Linked DNA regions of Danio rerio. The protein of the gene in region 2 interacts with the protein of the main gene of each other region in a biochemical or structural test. Links are inferred from orthologs where the notes say so. Each region holds a gene or a part of one and is shown on either strand. Other genes may lie near its edges.

Evidence for each region. The genes of interacting proteins can lie anywhere in the genome.
Region 1: the proteins of hip1rb (region 2) and cltb form a complex in vitro, tested with the Homo sapiens proteins (2 studies listed by BioGRID). The link is inferred for Danio rerio from reciprocal best matches to the Homo sapiens genes HIP1R and CLTB.

What each region holds. Positions count from the first base shown.
Region 1 is NC_133189.1:56,170,592-56,174,960, forward strand, and holds the start of cltb (clathrin light chain B), read right to left. Parts: upstream 2,924-4,369; 5' UTR 2,702-2,923; coding exon 2,521-2,701; intron 1-2,520. UniProt on the Homo sapiens protein: Clathrin is the major protein of the polyhedral coat of coated pits and vesicles.
Region 2 is NC_133180.1:72,287,813-72,291,471, forward strand, and holds part of hip1rb (huntingtin interacting protein 1 related b), read right to left. Parts: intron 3,168-3,659; coding exon 3,081-3,167; intron 2,986-3,080; coding exon 2,878-2,985; intron 2,097-2,877; coding exon 1,960-2,096; intron 1,871-1,959; coding exon 1,760-1,870; intron 155-1,759; coding exon 96-154; intron 1-95. UniProt on the Homo sapiens protein: Component of clathrin-coated pits and vesicles, that may link the endocytic machinery to the actin cytoskeleton. Binds 3-phosphoinositides (via ENTH domain).

The sequences.
Region 1 (4,369 bases), on a different chromosome or scaffold from region 2:
TTAACTTAGTTTAATAAGTTACAATGACTTAAAACACATGCAGTCAGGATCGAAAAACAAATTACAATTTAGGATTTATGTAAAATTGCAGTTTGTAATGTAATATTTTTTGTCTTCTAGTCAATTTTCATTCATTCATTCATTTTCTTTCTGGCTTACTCCCTTTATTAATCAGGGGTCGCCACAGCGGAATGAACCGCCAACTTATCCAGCATATGTTTTATGCAGTGGATGCCCTTCCAGCTGCATCCCATCACTGGAAAACATCCACACACACTCAATCACATACATACACTACGGACAATTTAGTTTATCCAATGCACCTATAGTGTGTTTGGACTGTGGGGGAAACCGGAGCACCCGGAGGAAACCCACGGCAACACTGGGAGAACATGCAAACTGACCCAAAATGTCAACTGACCCAGCCGAGGCTCGAACCAGCGACCTTCTTGCTGTGAGGCGATCATGCTACCCACAGCACCACCATGCAGCCCTCTAGTCAATATATATGTATATATGAAATACTTGCTTTGTTTACAAGACAAGTGGATCTAAGTGGATTTGCATTAAAAAAGTTTTAAATGTTTATTTTTTTTTACTTGCATGTTTTAAGTGTTTAGTTAAAGCATAAATCTGCACTTTATTTATTTAGTTATTTATTTTTTACAAATTCTGTTATTTAGTGTTTTGAAGATATTAGGTTTGATTTTGTTTTTGCTATTTTAAGTTTTGTGTTATTTATTTTGCTCCTTTATTTTTATGCAAGTACAAATGTCATTTTTTGCAATTTTCTATATTTAGCAATGCGACTCTTATTTAGAAGAGGATGAGTGATAATATTTAATTTCATTAATTTTTTTTATTTTATTAGGGCTGCTAACTTTTTTAGAGTTTATTTATTTTCTTTATTTATTTTAAATTAAATGTTTCCTTTTTTCTGAAAAAAAGTTTTAATGGTGACGCAGTGGCGCAGTAGGTAGTGCTGTCGCCTCACAGCGAGAAGTTCGCTGGTTCGAGCCTCGGCTGGGTCAGTTGGCGTTTCTGTGACAAAATAAAGGTACTGAAAGTACTGCTGTAAGTTACTAGTACTATGGGAAAGTGGCTGTATACAGTAGTGATATCATAGATTTTTAATATAATATAATATACTTTTTAGATAAAATACCATAGGAAAAAGTTATTTTAACCAAAAATACTGTATCGATTCTTTTTACTAATCATTGTCAATACCATGAACACTAAGAAGTGATTTGAACTTCATTTATTACACATTCATGCACCTGGTACATAACAGTACTGCTACATATACGGAACAGACACTGTATTATACCTTATAATATGCACTAATTAGAGCTGTAAACGAGTGAAACTGAAAGTACTGTTGTTCTAGTACTATGGTAAAGTGGCGGTATCTGGTGGTGATACCATAGTATTTCAATATAATAGAATAGAATATTCATTAAAAAAATCCTTTCAATGAAGTATCTATATTTTTTGCAAGGAATTGTCAAATACCATGATATACACATTTTAGTAAGTGATTTTTACTCATTTATTACACATTAATGTACCTGGTTCTTCAAAAAAAAAAAAACATGGTACATTACACTACTGCTACTTGTACGAAAGCACACTGTTATACTTTTTGTGTGCATTTAAGTACTCAGTAATAACAATGGTGATTCATATTATCAGTTACACATAATTTGTGAGATTAATATTAAACAAGGACACAAAATAAAGTTACTGAAAGTAAGTACTGCAGTTACTAGTACTATGGTAAAGTTGCAATAATCAGTGGTAATACCATAGTATTATAATAGAATATATTATAATATAATATACTTATTCTAAAAATACCATGGAAAAATAATTTATTATAAACAAAAACACTATTCTTTTTACAATACCATGGTAACTAACATTATAAGAAGTGATTTATACTCATTATTACTCATTTATGTATTTGGTTCTGCAAAAATACCATGGTATGTTACAGTAACGTTACCGCTACTTTATCGCAAGTAGCCTAATCTGTGTTATAGTTTTTGTGTGCATTTAAGTACCGAGTAATAACGATGATGATTTATATTATTAGTTGTGCATAATTTGTAATATTTATATTAAACAAAGTCACAAAATAGTTACTGAAAGTACTGCTGTAAGTTACTAGTACTATGGTAAAGTGGCAGTATTCAGTGGTGATACCATAGTATTTCAATATAATATAAAATAATATAATATAATATATACTTTTTGAAAATATACCATGGGAAAAAGTTATTTAAAACTAAAATACTGTGTTTTTTTACAATACTATGGTAACTCACATTTTAAGAAGTGATTGATACTCATTTATTACACATTTACGTACCTGGTTCTCCAAAAATACCATGGTACATTACACTACTGCTACTTATACATAACAGGCACTCTGTACTATACTTTATACACAATATAAAGCGGTAATACGTGAGCACGGGTGTGTGTTTGCGGCCGCCGGGACTCGCGCTGGCTCACCGCCGGACATGGTGTAGGTGTCTGCGGGCGCCGCTCCTCCGTCCTCCGGTAAACTGAACCCAGTGCTGTCGTTCTCAATCACCGCGATTTCATTCTCCTGCTGGGCCAGAAAGGCGGCGGCGGGATCTTCTTCTGTATGAACTCCGTTGTCGAAGGCGGAAAAACCGAAGTCGTCAGCCATGTTTGATAAAGTAACACCGGCTTCCGTAAAAAAGCTACGCTAAAACACTCCAGCTGTTTTCTTCTTCAGCCAGTTCACAAGTCGATTAGCTGATAAAGGGTGAACTTAGACTGGTCTGAACGTTGTAGACTTATTTAAAGTATTTATTTCACTTTTTTACTGACAGCGGTTGAATGACGCACAGCTCAAACGTTAGTAGGGAGTGCTAGAACAAAAATCTGTAATATCAATATTGAGCGCATAGTTAGGTGATGATTTGTGGCGTTTTGTCCCCATCTGCCGGACAGAGTGTGTAGTGCAGCAGAGTTGGATTTAAAGGGACAGTTCACACAAAATTAACTTTTATTCTGTTGCGCATAAAGCAAGATATTCTGAAGAGTGTTGAAAAGCAATCTGTACTTATCTTTTTAATCAAACTTTCACATATTTTCCCATGTGCTTTTAATTTCAAATAATTTATTAAGGGTGACATGGTGGTTTAGTGGTTAGCACTGTGGCTTCATAGGAAGAAGGTCGCTGGTTTGAGTCCTGGCTGGGCCAGTTGGCATTTCTGTGTGGAGTTTGCATGTTCTCCACATGTTGCCTTAGGTCTCCTCTGAGTGCTCCAGCTTCCCCCACAGTCTAAACACATGCACTATTGGGGAATTGATTAACTAAACTGGCCGTATAGTGTATGAGTGTGTGTGTGAATGAGTGTGTATGGGTGTTTTTCCAGTAATGGGTTGCAGCTGGAAGGGCATTCTCTGCATAATAAGCATATGCTGGATACGTTGGCGGTTCATTCCGCTGTGGCGACCCCTAATAAATTAAGGGACCGAAGGAAAATGAATGCATAAGGATTTTTACTTATTAATTGTTTTGCTTTGCTTAATCTGTATTATTAATGTTTTTCATGACTCTTTTTTAACTCTGTATAGCACTTAAGCCAACTGAAGTTGAATTTAAATGTGCTATATAAATAAGGTCAAATTTGCATTCAGCGTCTGGTGTGAACACAGCATAACAGGTAATAATCTTCGAAGCAATATCGTGCATATTAAGGAAGTTGCACCCAGTGGTGGAAAGAGTATGTAAAAAGCATACTTAACTAATACTTAAGTAAAAAAAAAGCATACTTAAGTAAAAGTACCATTACTTGCCTAAAAATGTAGTGTGAGTAGAGTAAAAGTACCTGTCGTAAATATTACTCAAAGTAGGAGTAAACAGTAGCCCTTTTAAAAGTGAGTATTACGCTGTTAAAAGTTGATGCATTTACATGTAATTCGTGGATGTGTGTAAACGTAACATTCTGTAGTGCATATATTTATTGCCCAGCAGGCACACAACGTTATAAGACGTTAATAGGTTTGATTTAGGTTGTAATGTCAGGTGACCAAAATTCTATGTCTAGCCAGCGTCTAAGGACATTATTTTCATGTCCAATAATGACATCAAATGACGTTGATATTTGGTTGATTTTAGGTTGTTAGAAAGTGACCAAAATCCAATGTAGAGCCGACATCTTAAATCAACATCCTATTGACGTCAAATACTGACATTTATTCATCAGTTATGGCAACCAAAATTCAACGTCTGATAGACGTCATAGTGGTAACGTCGACACAACGTCAAGCTGTAACATCATTAGACGTTGATATTTGGTTGGTTTGAGGTTGGACGTTGGACATT
Region 2 (3,659 bases):
TTTATTATATTCAGATATTAAAAGAGTGACATTTGCATTTAACAATTAAAAAATTAACAATAATAATAATAAAAAACAACAACAACAACACCAACCTTTCATTCACCTCCAGCTGAACTCCAGTTGCGTCTTTTCTGGTCTGACTCATCATTTCCTATAGAGCCAAACAATTAAAATTGAGATCAAAACAATACAAGATATATATAATAAATATGGATGTTTCAAAAACCATGTATTAAGCTTAATTAAAACAGCCTTAAAACTAAACAATAAGTGAACAGAAATGCTTGTTCATCAGTTATTAATCCGTTAAAGACTTTCATAGATCATTTATTTTCGACATTTATTACAAAATTATATAGTATTACACAGTATTATTATAATATAGAATTATTATATTATATTCAGGGTTCTTACACCTTTTCCAAAGCCAAATTTAAGAAACTTTCAAGCTTTCAAGCACATTCCAGGTGAATTTTCCAGCCCATTTTAACTAGTAAATTGCATATTTACATGTACTGTATATCTAAATATATAAATAGCCTCCTCCTCCTTCTGTATTACTCCGCCCACATAGTGACAGCAGATCCATAAACTCACTACAGTTTGACAAATATTGCTGCAGTTGGACAACATAATGTGCTTTTGAGACTTTTTAAAGTCGAGAATGTGGTTGTTTAGATTGCAACTATGCAGTTTATTTATAAGAATAATGCCTATTTTAAATATTTATCATTTCCGAGATACACCGCATTGGCAGCCTGTCATTGAGCAAGGCGGTTGATGTTGTCCATCCACAAGATGGCAGCCGCATAATAAGCCTCTAGAGGAGAAAAGATCTGCATATTTTCAAACTACAGCTGATCAAAACATTATTAAATTGGTGGGTGACAGAGATTCTAAGTCGATCTCTCTCTTTTGTATGTTGTAGGGCTGTTTTTATACCATAGTAATTGTAGTGTATTGAGTGTGAGATGGGACTCGGGTATTATGTTGCACACTTTTTGTATAACCTTTTTGGTTGGCCATCTGTTTGTTTCTAATGAGTCTCTTAGTAAACAGAAAGAAGGAAGAAATGCCCGCATGTGTTTAGTGTTTTTCCTTATCGCGAACACAACAGTAATCTGCTAGTGTTTGCATTGCTTTGGCTTTTTTGGGGTCAGTTATTGTGATACTCCTGATCACAACAGAGAAACACTGGGATATCTCTGTAGATTGATGGCATTTCATGCAGTTCAGTCTTATACTCTTAAAAAGTCAGCAAAATCACCTGTTTTGTCATCACTTTAGACATTACGCTAGAGAATCATTCATCAATACTAGCTCTAAAGTCACGATGGTGAATTAGAAACAGTTTCTGCTGTTCTGATGTCAGCTGCAGATGTGAATGAATGGCGGAAGAAAGTAGTTCCTCTTACAAAAAGACTGTTTCTTTTAAACAGAGAGAAAAGTTTCTACTCTTCAAAAAGACTACTCTTATACACGCTTTTGCTGTCGAACTGTTTTATAAATGCAATATCACACATGTAGCAGTGTGATATGGCTGTTCCACCTCACTTGTGGGACACTAAGGCACTCGGCCTGTGTCCTCAAACCAACGCACGCCTCCCGCCAGTGCCAATATACAGCCATAGCATACTGCTACTCATGTGATATTGTTCATATATTATATATGTGTTAAAAAGAAAGTAACTCTGGTTTGAAACAAGTGGAACATTAGAAGGCACAGATTTTCTGTGATAAATACTTTTCTACTCACATCTATTCTCCTAACAGCCTCCTCAATAGCAGCAGAGGTAGCAGCCATTTCTTTATCCACCATATCTCCCAGCTCATCCTTGCCGACATCTAAACCTTTTGGCCTTAGATCCTGGAAGTAAAATACAAGCAGCAATAGCCTTGAGTAAATGAATGATTGCATTATTAGCATTTAAATAACCCAAACTATTTGTGTCTTACCTTTCCTATTCTAAGAATCTTCTGCACCGCTGCTTGGATGGCGGTGGGATCAGCCCCCCTTAGAGATGCTTTGGATTTAAGACTCTTAAGATACTGCAGACTCTGGGTGGCGCAACTCTTACACTGCTCAGTCAAACCTGTAGACAGACATGCGTTTCAAACTAAATTTAGGATTCATCTAGATGTTTTAAATATGTGTTATTAGTTCCACATGGGTCAACTGTGATTCATTGCACCCCTACACACTGGCATATATAATATAATATAATATAATATAATATAATATAATATAATATAATATAATATAATATAATATAATATAATATCAAATAATATCAAATAATATCAAATAATATAATATAATGTAATATCAAATAATATAATATAATATTAAGTAATGTAATATAATCTAAAATTAAATAATATAACATAATAAAATATAATATAATAAAATATAATATAAGATAAAATAATATAATATAATACAATATCAAATAATATAATATAATACAATATTAAATAATATAATATAATATTAAGTAATGTAATATAATATAAAATTAAATAATATAACATAATAAAATATAATGTAATATAAGATAAAATAAAATAATATAATATAATATAAAATAATTCAAGATAAAATAATATAATATAAAATAAAATAATATAACATAATAAAATATAATATGATAAAATATAATGTAATATAAGATAAAATAATATAAGATAAAATAAAATAATATAATATAATATAATTCAAAATAATATAATTCAAAATAATATAATATAATATAATATAATATAATATAATATAATATAATATAATATAATATAATATAATATAATATAATATAATATAATATAATATAATATAATATAATATAATAGTGTTTTTCACAAGGTGTGTGCTCTTACGATCAGCATGGTCAGTAGGGGCCATGTGTGCCGTCGCACTTCCGTTGATTATTGTGTCAGCAGCAAGATGAGAAAACATAGTAAGAGCCCTAACCAGACCCCCAGCATCTGAATCAAAAACAAGTTAATCATGAAATGAGATAAAGTACAAGCATTAAAAATTATATGGAAACATCATCAAGCGAAAAAGAGACAGAACATACCTTTCATACTCTTCACATACTCAGAGTGGCCTGCCTGCACCTTCTCTACAGAGCCCAGCGTGGCCTCAGCCCGGCTGATGAGGTAATCTAATGACAGACAAGATGTTGTACTATAATCAGACAGATGTAAATGGTTTAAATGTTATAATGAGGTATATGTAAGAGGACTATTCATTTTGAATATGCCTGCTCAATCGCTTCCGGTGAACTGTCATGAAAGAAAGAAGAACTGGTTTGTTTAAAATTCAATGATCTTCACTGCCTGATTGATGTACGACATGAAGTGGGGTTCCTACCTGACAACAAACTCTGTACTAAATTCCATTGTTCCACACTATGGGTCTTATAATACACCCGGTGCAATAAGGTGCAAGACGTATTTGGTGCGATCTGTTGCTATTTTCAGATCAGTGCAACTCTAATTTTCATGTTTTCGACCACATTGTTTAAATAGCAAATCCATTCGTGCCACTTTGTGGGCTAATGGGTGTGCCGGTCTGAAAAGGAGGTGTGTTAAGGTGCATTGTTGGCACATTGTTTTTTGAGGAACTGAATTGGACCACGCCATTGACCAAGTAA